Drosophila melanogaster: one gene and its partner. The protein of the gene in region 1 purifies or fractionates together with the protein of each later gene. This does not show direct contact. Each region holds a gene or a part of one and is shown in the gene's direction. Other genes may lie near its edges.

Region 1 (6,575 bases):
TCATTTGTACGGAATGGAAAACGTAGTTACCAACGGGCAACAGGGTCGTGTGATTGATGTGAACATGTCAGCACGGACATGAAAGTGGACGGCGATGGGGTTTTTGGATTGGGATGCGGATTGGTATTGGGCTGGCAGGAAGCATAAATTGTAGACAAGATGAGCGCAGATACAAGATACATGCTGCTATTACACGACTCACAATCAGCTGCAGATACAAATTTATGTCATGTGCAGCAGTCTGGACATGTGAATGACAAAAAAGCATCGCCACGGACTGATAGACTTTTGACAACCGGTTCCACACGGCGAGAAAAAATCACTCAATTCTGTATTACTTCTTATAATATCTTTAATGACACTGCAATGAATTTGTAAACATTTCGCAGAGGCACCAAAGTTTTTAAAACTTATCACAGAATGCAATGCAAAACATTCTTCAAGATCAAGCTTCTTTCCAATTTGTTTGATTCGATAAATAATTAAATAATTATCGTAACATAAAAATGAAGCTATTAGCTGAAATTTGTCCGCGTGCATTTGGGGTTTTGGAGCTGGGAGCCTCGTCTGGAGTTGGCGGCCAACCCAACTCGATGGCTGGGGTCAAGCGGCCACCTGACAGCAACTTTCCTTGGTCGTTCCGATTTCACCGATGAACGATTCAATCGAAAAGCCTGAAATGGAGAATCCGAGATCGCAGATCGCAGTAGCGAAGGAATGGTGGAAAGGAGGAGCTGCGCCTCCAACATGAAAACTGTGCGTGCTGTTGACATTGGGTCATAAATTCTGGTGAAAAACAGACAACAGTTTTCATTGTTTGGCTGCTCGGAGATGCAAGACTTTTGTTTGGACAATACACAAATATGGGCACTAGACAAACACCGATACGCAGCAATAGACAAATAAATGCCTCGCATGAAATTGGATTTGACTTGGTGGTTGCGGGCCACACGGCGAATACTTCGATTGGGTTTAGTTTGATTTTTGGGCGTGATGGGGGAAGGGGAAAAGGAGAAGGGGGGAGGCTGCAACCAGCTGTCAGTGCCAAAGTGTTGATTTTGCCGTTTGCAGGCAGAGTTCCATCGAGTTCCATAAACAAGAGGCAATCAAAGGGAACTACCCCCCGGCTGCAAAATCCCAGACCCAATATTCAGGCCAAAGACGCCACCAACCAACCTTGGCAACTTTGCAACTAGGCAAACTTCAGGTCGCAAATGGGTCAACCAGCCACGTCACTTACTGACCTACTTTCGAGTTTTTTTTTTTTTTTTGCTGGCGGAATCTGTGTCAGGGATATGAACAGCTGTGAATTTAGCTTTTGCAACATATAGAATTCGTTGGCAAATTCATATATTAAGAAAACCTTCCAAAAATAAGTAATAATAATAATTATAATATAATATAATAATGATATAATAGTTTACATTTGCAGACGATAGGTCGAAACGGGCCGGCTTGAAACTCTATATCATAATGCATATCATATAGCATTAGTTCAAAAATAAAATTTTATTATTTTTCTGGCACATCGATTCGGTATTGCAAATTTCCAAAACAAGCAAAAAAAAACGAAGAAATTCTAAATATTTTCCAAAAGTGTTAACGTGACAGTATTGAGCGGATGGACTGGTGGCCGGAGAGGACGTGGCCAGATCGGCTTGTGATCCTGATCATGAATACACTAATCGTTATTATGAAAAAATAAACGCAGCAAAAAGACAACGAGTATTCTTCAATTATTGTGTGTACATTTATTACATTGGTTTGTGTCTTTGCTTATCGCAACTACTTTGTCTTCTACATAATGTTTTTACACATGTAAAATTCGTATTGTTTGGAAATACATTAATTTGTAACAATTAGAGTATTGAAGAAACATTGTAAGCGAGTACTTTTGTTGAATAATACAAATAAAATGAAGTGAATCGCAATAAAAGAAAAAAAATTAACACAGCTTTTTTTTTATTTGTGACAGTCGTAACTATTATTTATTACTATTGAACAAAATGATGCCAACAACGAATGCTAAAGCAGAACGTATAGAAAAAGCGATCAAGAGATTGGATGATCCGTGATTTTGGTATATTTTCTTTTGGCCCTTCGTCGAAACTGGTTTCGGTAGATCGGATTCATTAGAAATGCAATCAATGGACTTTGGTTCGCGCATATTCGTCTGGAATCTTATCAAATTTCCTTGGGAATTTCTCGGGAATTCTTTGGGATCTCCTTGGGAATTACTCTGGAATTCCTCGGGATCCTAGGGAATTATTCGGGATTTCCTTGGGAATTCCTTGGGATTTTTTTATGGAACTCGACTAAAACATTCTCTGTGGTTCATAGTCGAGGCACACCGGCTATATCGTTTTTTCCTGAGAAGCTTGCTAAAATTCTATCGTTTGGTTCTTGTACAAGCTTAAAGCTTTTTATTCCACTTGAAGTAACGATTTACTTTATTATTCTTAAAAATGTTGTAGCAGGACTGATAGCTTATATAAATAAAATGTAACAATTTATTTATTTTAAATAATTTAAAGGAGCTCGTGCATTTTTGTGCCGGCGGACAGTGAGAATACTTGATGGGAGCGGCTCTGTGTTTGCAAGCAGTGCAAACTTAAATTTGTTGTCCTGTTTTTCTCCCACTCACTCTCTTTCTCTCTCTCATTTGACTCTCTCTCTCTGGAGCGCGCACACGCGAATCCTTGTATGGTTACTTTAGCGAAGTTGCGTCCCCGTTGGCAGCGCTGCCGACGTCGACGCACCGTCGCGGCGCCGCCCCCGAAATGCGAATAGGAGGGGCGGGCTTGGGGCAGCATGTCCTGCCATCGGAGTCCTTACTCGAGTCCTGAGGCTCCCGAGTCCGCAGTTTTGGACAAACACTCCGAGAGGCACGTCAGGGCCAAGCGCGCGCGCTTCTCGTGTCGAGAATTCTGTCTGTCTGTCCTGTCTGTCCGCCAGCGTGTGCGTGAGCGTGTGGGTGCATGTGTGTGCGTGAGCCAATGGCAGCGTCGGTGTTAGCCAATTCCAGTGCTGTGGCAAAAAATACCGTTCCGTAATCGTGCAAAAAAACGTGCAAAAGTTTGGCCCCCAAAATCAAATTCAAGAGCAAACGCAAACGAAATCAAGTGAAAGTGCGAATAACAAAGAAATATTCAAAATAAAGAAGAAAGCGTCCTGTAAATAAACACGAGCAGCGAAAAGTCCGAAGAAAAAACCCATAAGCAACGTTGTGCTAGCAACAAAATCAACAAAGTGCGCCAGCGGATCGGGAAATCGCGACCGGGTTGTGCGGGTTGTGGGCTGCAGGCTCTTCAGCTGCCAGTTCAGCTGTCAAAAGTTAGTTCGACTCGAAAGCTTAATGTTTTATTTCCATTTCGATTTTTATTTCTATTTTAGTTTTTAGCCATCATACTCATTCCAAACCTCACCTTCCTTTCCACACAAGCAAAGGCGTGGGCGTTGCACTGCCCAAAATTGTGGGTCCTCACATTGCCCATCTTACCCATATTGCACAAAGAATTTTAATGTTGACCTGCTGCACTCTTAGATAATTTAGTAAGTTTCTCATTGAAGTAACTGAAAGATTTTTTCGGTGTACTTGAGACTTAATTCTTATGGCAATGACAGGAGCTCAAGGAGCTTTTCTGCTGCTCTTGTTCTGGTTCTTGTTCTTGTCGCTTCTCCTACAGCCTTGCTGGAAAAAGTTCGCGTTTCCAGAATTTCCGTGCTAAATGCATTGCTAGCCCCAAGCAAACAAATCTCAACATATTCCATGCCATCTAGGATAATTTAGAAAGAAGCCCATGTGCCTGCCAAGTGCATTACTCATACGCCGCGTTGACCGCTGAACAAAGCATGGAAATGAAATCATACCAACCACACACAAACTGTGGCAATAACAGTTAAGCTCACCTGTGTGTGTGTGTGTGTGATGAAAATTGTGAAATGCGTGCCGTGGCAAAAACAAAAGACAGCTAAATAAATGAAATGAAATGAAACAGAGCAGCAATAAAACGGGGCAAGAACAAAGGACGAGCCTGCTGACCAAAGTCCAGAGTCACGCGAAGTTGCAACAACAACAGTAGCGATATATATATATATATTTTTTTTTTTAAAGACCGCCAAGGTGAAGCAAGGATGTTTAGGCTTGGATAGCGAGGGGTTGGGTGCAGAAACTAGTTAGATCAGACTTCTTCCCACAGATCCCAAATAAATCAAGAATACTTTGTGCCCTGGCCGGGCAGACAAATGCAAATAAATTGAAGAATAATAAGCAAAATGCCAAGGCACTGGCAACTGGCAACTGGCAACCAGAAAGCGAAAAGCGAAAAGCCGCCGCACAAAAATGTGTAGCATAAATAATTCCACCCACAACACACAGAGGCAAAAAAGGTTACACAGTCACTAGGGCGAAACCAGTAGACTTTCGAACGCCGACGATGGCGTCGCAGCTGGCGCCGACGTCGACTTCGGTACACACTCTCCCATTCATTCTCTCATTTGCAATCGCTCTGCAAGATGTACCTCTCTAACTAACCTACATCAACAGCTGTGAGTTGTGAAAAAAGTGCCACCCACGCAAACCGCAAAATGTGTAAAGAAATGCCATAAAAGCCGCATATCGTTTTGTAGTTAAAAGCCAACTAAGTAATATTATTTTTCAGTGTTTTAGCTGCGATTGAAAAGTGCATAAACCAGCGAAAAGGAGTAAACAATAAGCCAGGATAAATGAAAACGCCAAAGCGCGCTTTTCTCTGACTGTCACTCGCTGTCTCTTCCCTTCTCTGTCTCCCTCTCTCTCTCTCTCTCCCTGTCGCTGTCTCTGTCGCTCCCCTTCGCGGACTTTCGCCGGAACAGCTGTTCTCCATCTCTATCTCTATTCACTCGCTCTCGCACTCTCGCGCTCTCCCTCTCTCGCTGTGGTGTAAGCTTCTCTAGCTTTTCTCCTGCGCCGAAGCGTGTGTACATAACCTAAAAACAAAACCGCGCTCTGCATGTTGCGGTAGGCGGACGGAGGCGTCGCAGTTGCACACACAAGTGCAACAACGGCAACAGAGCGGGGCGCAGCAGAGCGACGGAGCGGCGACGGAGCAGGAGCAGCGTTGATGCCGTTGCAGCTGCTGCTGCGCAGCCAGCGACGACAGCAGCAACATCAGTGATACAAGGAGCAGCGGCAGCAGCAGCAGCAGCAGCCGCAGCAACGCCAGCAGCAGCAGCAGCAGCAACAATCAGCAACATCAGCGCCCTGTGTGCACCGACAATAATATGAGGAGTGGCAGTTCGGAATTACTACTCGAGCAGCAACAACAAGAGCTACGGTTACGTAAAATCCGAGAACTGGCTCCGAAAAAGAAAAATGGCAATCGGCGCTTTCGTTCGTGGCGGGAACGTGCGCGTTTCTATGGAACCTCGACACTGGCCTTCTTCTCGGTGACCGCCGGGGCATCGCTGCTCTTCCTCGTACCGCTCTATGTGGATCCGGCGATATCGACGCTTAGCCACGATTTTATCGAGAAGCCAACGCTGTGCACGACGACGCGTCGCGAGGATCTAGTGGGTATATTCAACTGTTCGTGGAGTTCGTGTCGCGAGGGCTGCACCTCCGATTTGTACCGCTGCGTGCATATCTATGTGACGTTCATTGAGCAGAACATTACGATACCGGAGAATATGACCGATTATAGCAACTTTACGTCCGATATGGAGCAGTCCGGCGAGGCGACACTGCTTGTCAATATCAAGGGATGCGGCTATCCGCCATCGGTGACGTGTAAGAACTTTAACGGTTACTACGGCATCGAGGGTGCCATCTTTCCGTGCTTCTATTCGCGAAAGAACAAGACGGTGGTGCTGACATCGTACAACCACGACGACCAGGTGGCCATGATCATTCACTTCTTCGCGGTGCCCTTTGTGATAACGGTCATCTCGTCCATTGCCCTGTGCATCATGCACTGCGACTGCCGCTGCAAGAAGGATCGCAGCCACCGACGCAATCGGCCGCAGTGCCGAAGGCCGCGCATCGAGAATCTCAGGTGAGTGGTGACGAATTCTCCTCGCTATATCTAACAATCCCAAGGAGTTCTTTCAATAAGATATAAGGATATCAATATGAAGGAATGAATTACTCGCCTTGTCTATCAGTTTCTTGCATTTTCATGAATGTATATTTTCGTATTTTTAAATTTTTAATAAAACTAAACTTGCCACCCATTCTCCCAATTGTATTATTCAAATACACATGAATTTAAAACGCTTTTTATCGCATGTACGTTGTCTTCTTTGGCCAGTAAGTTAATTTAACAAAACTCTCTCAGCGGGAAATTCCTTCCTGTCTGCAATATTTGCTTTCCTGGCGTCGGCGTAATTTAAATAATTCACTAATGACAGTTCTTCCGTTTGTGTGTGTGTGTGTGTGTGTGCGAGTGGTGGGGTTTTTTGGAGGCAAAGTGAACGTGTCAACGGAGGGGGGGTGTTGTTATTTTGGAGTAATATGCGGTCTAAATTATTTATAAGACCAGGCGTCGCATGTATTTGCCACCCAGCACAGCGCAGTCAAAGCATTAGAGCACGCAACA
Region 2 (6,575 bases), on another chromosome or scaffold:
ATTAGAAGGTTTCGAGGACTGGCTTATGTATATATCCGAAATATGATTTGGCCAATTCGCAATGCGTGCTTTGAAATTACTCTACTGCATGGCTTGAGTTTGTTTTGGGTATTAAAAGTAATGTTTATATTACGTTCTGAGCGATTTGCGGACACGTCCAGGCATCGAATGGTATGCGGGTGAAAAGGCAAAGAGATACATATTGTTTATTGAGTTTTCTATTTGCTGGCAGTATGGGATACTGATTAACTGGGAGCAGGCCTCGCGGCCGCAACAAAAACAAAGCAATGAGTCATTTCCCCTTGGCCCATTTGAGTGACCAACTAGGAAGCCAAGGACCTCGGCGCACTCCTCTCATACCTCTTTTGTTTTTAGACGCATTCTTGCGGGCTATATTCAGTTCGTCCTCGATCTTGGCCTCCAGGAACTCCTGCTTTTTGATAAGCATGTTCTCCGTCTCGCGCAGCTTCTGTATCGCCTCGCCGGTGGTGGGGGCCACTTCCTTCTTGCCGCCGAACATCTTCCCGAAGAAACTCATCCTGGCTGATCTGTTTTTTCACCCGAATTTAGCGAACAAGTGAGTTTTTTTCTGCTATTGCGTTTCTTGGTTGTCTGGGAGCTGTTGTTCGTATGCGTCACCCGATACCGATTGCCGTCCCCTATCGTTATCGCCTTTGTGTATGCGCTTGGCGGAGTGGCATATTTCTCCCTTACGCAGCTGGCCACTCTGGTTAGCAAACGCCGAAAAATAAATAAATATATTCGGTGCATTTTCACATTTTGCACTGCTGCCAATAGATACCCGAATTTCTGGATTGAAAAGTCCTATTTGAGTTACGATTGACAAGGAACAAGGGTTCAACTGAAAATGGCCAACCGCACGGTGAAGGAGGCCAAAAACGTGCACGGCACCAATCCGCAGTACCTCATCGAGAAGATCATCCGTTCGAGGATATACGACTCTAAGTACTGGAAGGAGCAATGCTTTGCTCTCACTGCGGAGCTTCTGGTGGACAAGGCAATGGAGCTGCGATTCGTCGGAGGCGTCTACGGCGGCAACATCAAGCCCACCCAGTTCCTCTGCCTCACACTCAAGATGCTGCAGATTCAGCCGGAAAAGGACATCGTAGTGGAGTTTATCAAGAACGAGGAGTTCAAGTACGTTCGAGCATTGGGAGCCTTCTATCTACGGCTCACAGGAGCTGCCCTGGACTGCTACAAGTACCTGGAGCCGTTGTACATAGACAATCGAAAGCTGCGCCGCCAGAATCGCGCCGGCCAGTTCGAGATTGTCTACATGGATGAGTACATTGACGAACTGCTGCGCAACGACCGTGTCTGCGACATTATACTGCCCCGCATCCAGAAGCGCTCCATTCTCGAGGAAAACAACGAAATCGAGCCCAAGGTGTCAGTGCTGGATGAGGACTTGGACGACGAACTGCCCAGCGACGAGGAGAAGGCAGACGAGACCAACCGGCCTAAGGAGAATTCGACAGCAGTGAGACGACCACGGAGAGTTCGCTCCAAGTCAAGGTCCCGCAGTCGGGAGCGCGAGCGAAGATCTGGGCAGGGCAACAGCGCCCGTTCCCGGGATTACTACGACGAACTGGAAGACTACGACCGCCAGCGAAATAGGGTGCGCAATCGGGACACCCACAACGAGGACTATGACCGTCGGCAAAACAATGGACGCCACGATCGCGAACGAGAGCGCCAAGATCGCGACAGTATCAGGGAGCGCGAGAGGGACGGCGACAGAGATCGCCGGGATAGGGAACGAGAGCGAGAACGTGACCGTGGCCGTCACGACCAGCGGGAACGGGACTCGCGAGGAGAGCGTGACCGACGACGCTACTAAAATTATAAATAAATTGAATTAATTAACCAGTAAAAAGTGTCAGAAAATTTAAACCACAAACTCTCAATTCGCCGCAAGTTGGCATCCCTAGCACTAAGAATCGAAAATCGAAATCAAAACAATAACACAGAAGAAGAAGAAGTCAATCAGCTGTTGCTGCTTGCATTTAGAAAGTTTCGAATAGAGTAACGTTAACTGCGGGAGAATCCAGCCAGCTGTACTTGTGAAAATAATACACGTACCAGGGATTTAAGCAACAATAAATCCACGTTAATCAGCAGTAAAGCAGCTGAAGCTTTAGTATCTGAAAACTCTCCGTCGCGTTTGGAAGACTTTCAGGGAACTGCGCAGCGTTCTGGTGAATGAATTGTAAATTCCATTATCTCCGGTAGACTGGTGTAAGCCAGACGCATCCACGAGTTCCGTTCTCGATAGCGAGCAAGTAGGAACGGAACGGAACGGCAGTATGCCTCGCTCTGATACGGAGGCTTTGGTGGCCGATGTGGAGACTGGCGAAGATTCGGCACCACGCATACTGGACGCATCATCTGCGGCCAGCAGTGAGCAGGTGGACCCGCCTCCGGTACCGCCGCCTCATGACTACAGCAGCTATCGCTGGTTCATCCTGGAGCCCGCAGTTTTTTTAATCTTCTTCGCCAGAAATTTAATTGGTATAATGGCTATAGGGCAGTAAAACCGATTGGATTGCATCATTGAATTAACTTTGTGTGCGTTTTAGGGGCGGTTTATCAGAACCAAATTCTCTACCAAACCTGCATCACCATCGAGAAATTCAATGCCACGCAATGTGAACCGCTGCTGGGCATTGATCGCGGATCGGACGCGGATAAAGTAAGTATTTAATTTGACCCTTATAGTATACACATCATGTACAATTTGATATCTGTACTTTGTGTAGTTTCTGTTCTCGTTGCCTGGTTTTTATCTCTGTGCAAATTATTTTTGCTGCTTTGCTGGGCGTTTCGTGTTGTGATTTTATGGCGATGAGGAAAATGGCAATTTTAAACAAATTTATCCAGTAACTGTAAACAAAAACTGAAGTTTAAGTTACAAAAACTGCTGAACAATTTTAAAACCACAATTAATGTATCACAATATTAACTTGTTTTACGAGTAATTGCTACTATTATGACCTTTGCTGTATAGAACAATGTATTTCGCATTTGGCTCGCCGATATTCTTCCAAGACGTGACCTACTTAGTATATCTTACTATATCAGCATCCGACGTGACAAAGTAAAATCAAATTAGCAAATCGTCTCAACCTAATGCAAAACTGCCATTGTTTGGAGGCTAGAGATAAGGTAATTAGAACGCCAGTCGAGGCTTATCAACGGCCGGAATAGAAGTAAGCAAAATCCTTTGTTACTGCATTTCGAAGCAGTATCGAAGTATTTACTAGGAAAGCGTTAAAATTATAATTATACGTACGAGATATGGCACATTGACTCATCCACAGTTGTACAGTTGTGCAGTTTACTAAAGTGAACTTCTGTTTTTTCAGGAAGTCGAGGTGATAGTACAGACGTATTCTGCAAATATTATGATGACAACCTCTCTGCTAGAGAGCATTATTCCTGCCTTCGCGAGTCTGTTCCTGGGTCCCTGGTCCGACAAGTTCGGAAGGCGGCCAATCCTGCTGACAACTTTTACGGGTATATAATCATCAGTCAGGACATCTTAATTGCATCTTGTACAAATGACTCTTATTGTATTTAAAGGCTACCTCACTGGCGCACTCATACTGATAGTAATCACTTACATAACGAGGTCCACGAATATAAGTCCATGGTGGTTCCTCCTTTCCTCGGTTCCTTCCGTCGTAAGCGGCGGAACTTGCGCCTTGATTACTGGAATCTATTGCTACATATCCGATGTGGCCAAGGAGCGAAAGAAGGCTCTGAGGTGAGTATGGGTAGTCTTGATTTATTAATCCAAAGAATGCCATTTCATTTTGATATATTATTTGAAAGAATGGTCCTCAATGAAGCCTCCCTCTGTGCTGGCATAATGGTGGGCAATGTGGCCAGCGGTTATATCTATGCTGCCACAAATGCTCTGGTGTTGTTTTCCATTGCTGGTAGCCTGATGATGTTTGCCTTGATGTACGTGCTTCTGTTTGTACCTGAAAGCCTAAATCCAGGTGACATTCACACCGGAGTAAGTAATTTCTATAGCTAAGAAGAAACGAATATCTCAACACTCCTTCCCTCATTTTTAGTCGCGAGTCCGTGAGTTCTTCCGTTTCGATTTGGTCACGGACCTGATTCGCACCTGCTTTAAGAGGCGCCCCAACTTTGATCGCACAATCATCTGGCTTACAATGATTGCCCTTACGATAGCCATTTTCGACATGGGTAACATAATTCAAACTTAAGATTATATGAGTTAATTTATAATGATTTCAGAGGGAGAGAGCACTGTAAATTACATGTTCGTGCAGGATAAATTCAACTGGACCATTAAGGACTTCAGTCTATTCAACGCATCCCGCATCGTGATCCAGATTGTGGGCAGCATCGTTGGCATGTTGGTATTGCGCCGCGTTCTAAAGATGTCTATCGTAACCATGGCAATGCTCTCCCTGGCTTGCTGTGTTCTGGAGAGCACGGTTCGAGCCACAGCAGTCTACTGGCAAGAGCTGTATCTGGGCATGACGCTGGGTATGATGCGTGGCGTCATGGGACCTATGTGCCGCGCGATTCTCTCGCACGTTGCACCCGCGACTGAAGTTGGTACGTACCCAAAGTGTTTAGCCTGCAAATACCATTAACTAAAACCATATGAAATAATTTAGGCAAGATCTTTGCTCTGACCACCTCCATGGAATCGGTTTCGCCACTGGGCGCTGCACCTCTGTACACAACCGTCTACAAGGCAACTTTGGAAAATTATCCCGGAGCTTTCAACTTTATTAGCGCCGCTCTCTACTTTGTGTGTTACATTCTGATAGCGTAAGTCCTACCAAGCACAGTTCAAGTCCAGTTTAAAGCGAATACTTTTCAATACAGCGTGATCTTCGGCATCCAGAAGTCGATGGGTAGTAGCAGTGTCTACCAGGCCATTGGCAGCTAACAAACTCTCCAGAGCACCGATTTAGCTGAATGTATCTCATAAGTTAAATTCCTTCTGCAGGCGCTGCGAAGAGCTCTCGTTTTAAAAGATTAGAAACTATTTGTGTAAATTAATCTAGTGTTTGTACTCCTTGTATATTTTTGCAAGTATTATTATGATTTTGATCAGTGTATATGTATATATATACTATATCTGCTATTTGGACTGTGTTTTGCATGTGCAAGCATTGTAAAGTTAAGAACAAAAGATTTAACTGTTTGCAGTGTGACAATAAAGTGTGAATACATCGAGCATTCAATATCTTTGAGCATAAATCGAATGGGAATTGTGTGTCGCGATGTGAGGTTTCTCGAGAGGGAGCCGCTCGAGCGTTCGTGCGCAGATAGGGCGCAGCAAACGCTTTGGTTTGCTCAAATTGGCAATCGCTTGCTTTGTTTGTTTACGTCGTCTATTTCAGCTGCTCCCTCCAGTTAGTCTATCACTCGAGTTCGGCGCGCACAGATGTTTAACTCAGTTCCCGCTACGATATATTGCTTGGCTGAATGAATCGTTAATTCCTTTGTCTACACGATAATTGCTGCGATCACCGCGACCTTTACTGAACCACAAAATGCCGAGAGATGATGAGGAGCCAATTATTGGCGCTGATGATGAACCGCTGGACATCGAAGTGCGGTCGCCGCCACCCAGCAATAGGACATTCTCTAGCTGGCTAAAACGACCCCGCTCGCTTATTTTAGAGCCCGCCGTGTTTCTGGTTTTCTTTGGCAGATTCCTAACAGGTGTGTACATACATGTATGTGTTTACTGTGTTGTGGGGGCGTTTATAAATCAGATTGTTTACATCAGATGCCGTTTACCAGAACCAGATACTCTACCAGACCTGTGTCACGGTCATGAAATACAATGCTACCGAATGCGAGCCATTTCTCGGTACGGATCGTGCCTCCGATGAGGTTAAGGCAAGTTGAAAAGCAATAGGCGTATATGTATTTTTATGCATAAACTTTAATGAATGCGATTTCAGTGATTCTATAATTGCATTTCAATTAGAAGTCATTGTTGTGGGAAAAAACCATTCTCGGTTTATATACATTCTTATTGTTTTTCCTTTGTGGGTTCAAGTGTGATTCGTTCCATATGCTTGTTAACATTAGATGCGGATTGAAAGCTATGTATTGCTGGTATCTTAAGTTAACTTATACTGAAGAACCTTTGTCGCACCTGTTTTTGCTTATCAGTTGACCGCAACAAAAGTAAACCCAAATTGTTTATGACTAATGACTCGTCTTATCACAAAAAGTTATCGACCACAGTACACAAATCGGGAATAATATTTCGACATGCATGTGTGCAGATATTTAAGCCCGGCCAAAACACCTAGTGAGTCATGGAAACGTGACGACCGCTTGACGGGCTTATCAGCCGGCCTTTAGAGAATCCCCTATCAACAGAGTTCCCATTTTGCAGAAGATTGAGGGGCAAGTTCAGGAGTATGCCTCGACCATCACAATGATAAGCTCGATGCTCGAGAGCACCGTTCCCGCCATAGTAAGCCTCTTCCTGGGACCCTGGTCAGATAAGTTCGGCAGAAGGCCCATCCTGCTATCCACGTTTA

The links.
Region 2: the proteins of Teh1 (region 1) and CG30344 purify together in Drosophila melanogaster (affinity purification with mass spectrometry, with the first as the bait; one large-scale study listed by BioGRID). This does not show direct contact.

Annotation. Positions count from the first base shown.
Region 1 is NT_033777.3:9,864,426-9,871,000, reverse strand, and holds the start of Teh1 (tipE homolog 1), read left to right. Parts: upstream 1-2,880; 5' UTR 2,881-3,333; intron 3,334-4,661; 5' UTR 4,662-5,262; coding exon 5,263-6,032; intron 6,033-6,575.
Region 2 is NT_033778.4:9,143,260-9,149,834, forward strand, and holds CG30344 (uncharacterized protein), read left to right. Parts: upstream 1-2,000; 5' UTR 2,001-2,327; coding exon 2,328-2,532; intron 2,533-2,600; coding exon 2,601-2,713; intron 2,714-3,386; coding exon 3,387-3,537; intron 3,538-3,603; coding exon 3,604-3,787; intron 3,788-3,855; coding exon 3,856-4,042; intron 4,043-4,103; coding exon 4,104-4,239; intron 4,240-4,290; coding exon 4,291-4,617; intron 4,618-4,679; coding exon 4,680-4,836; intron 4,837-4,893; coding exon 4,894-4,957; 3' UTR 4,958-5,253; downstream 5,254-6,575. Other genes in the region: shrb (shrub), read right to left, coding at 361-538; Prp38 (pre-mRNA processing factor 38), read left to right, coding at 869-1,861; CG30345 (uncharacterized protein), read left to right, coding at 5,568-5,739, 5,807-5,919, 6,428-6,575.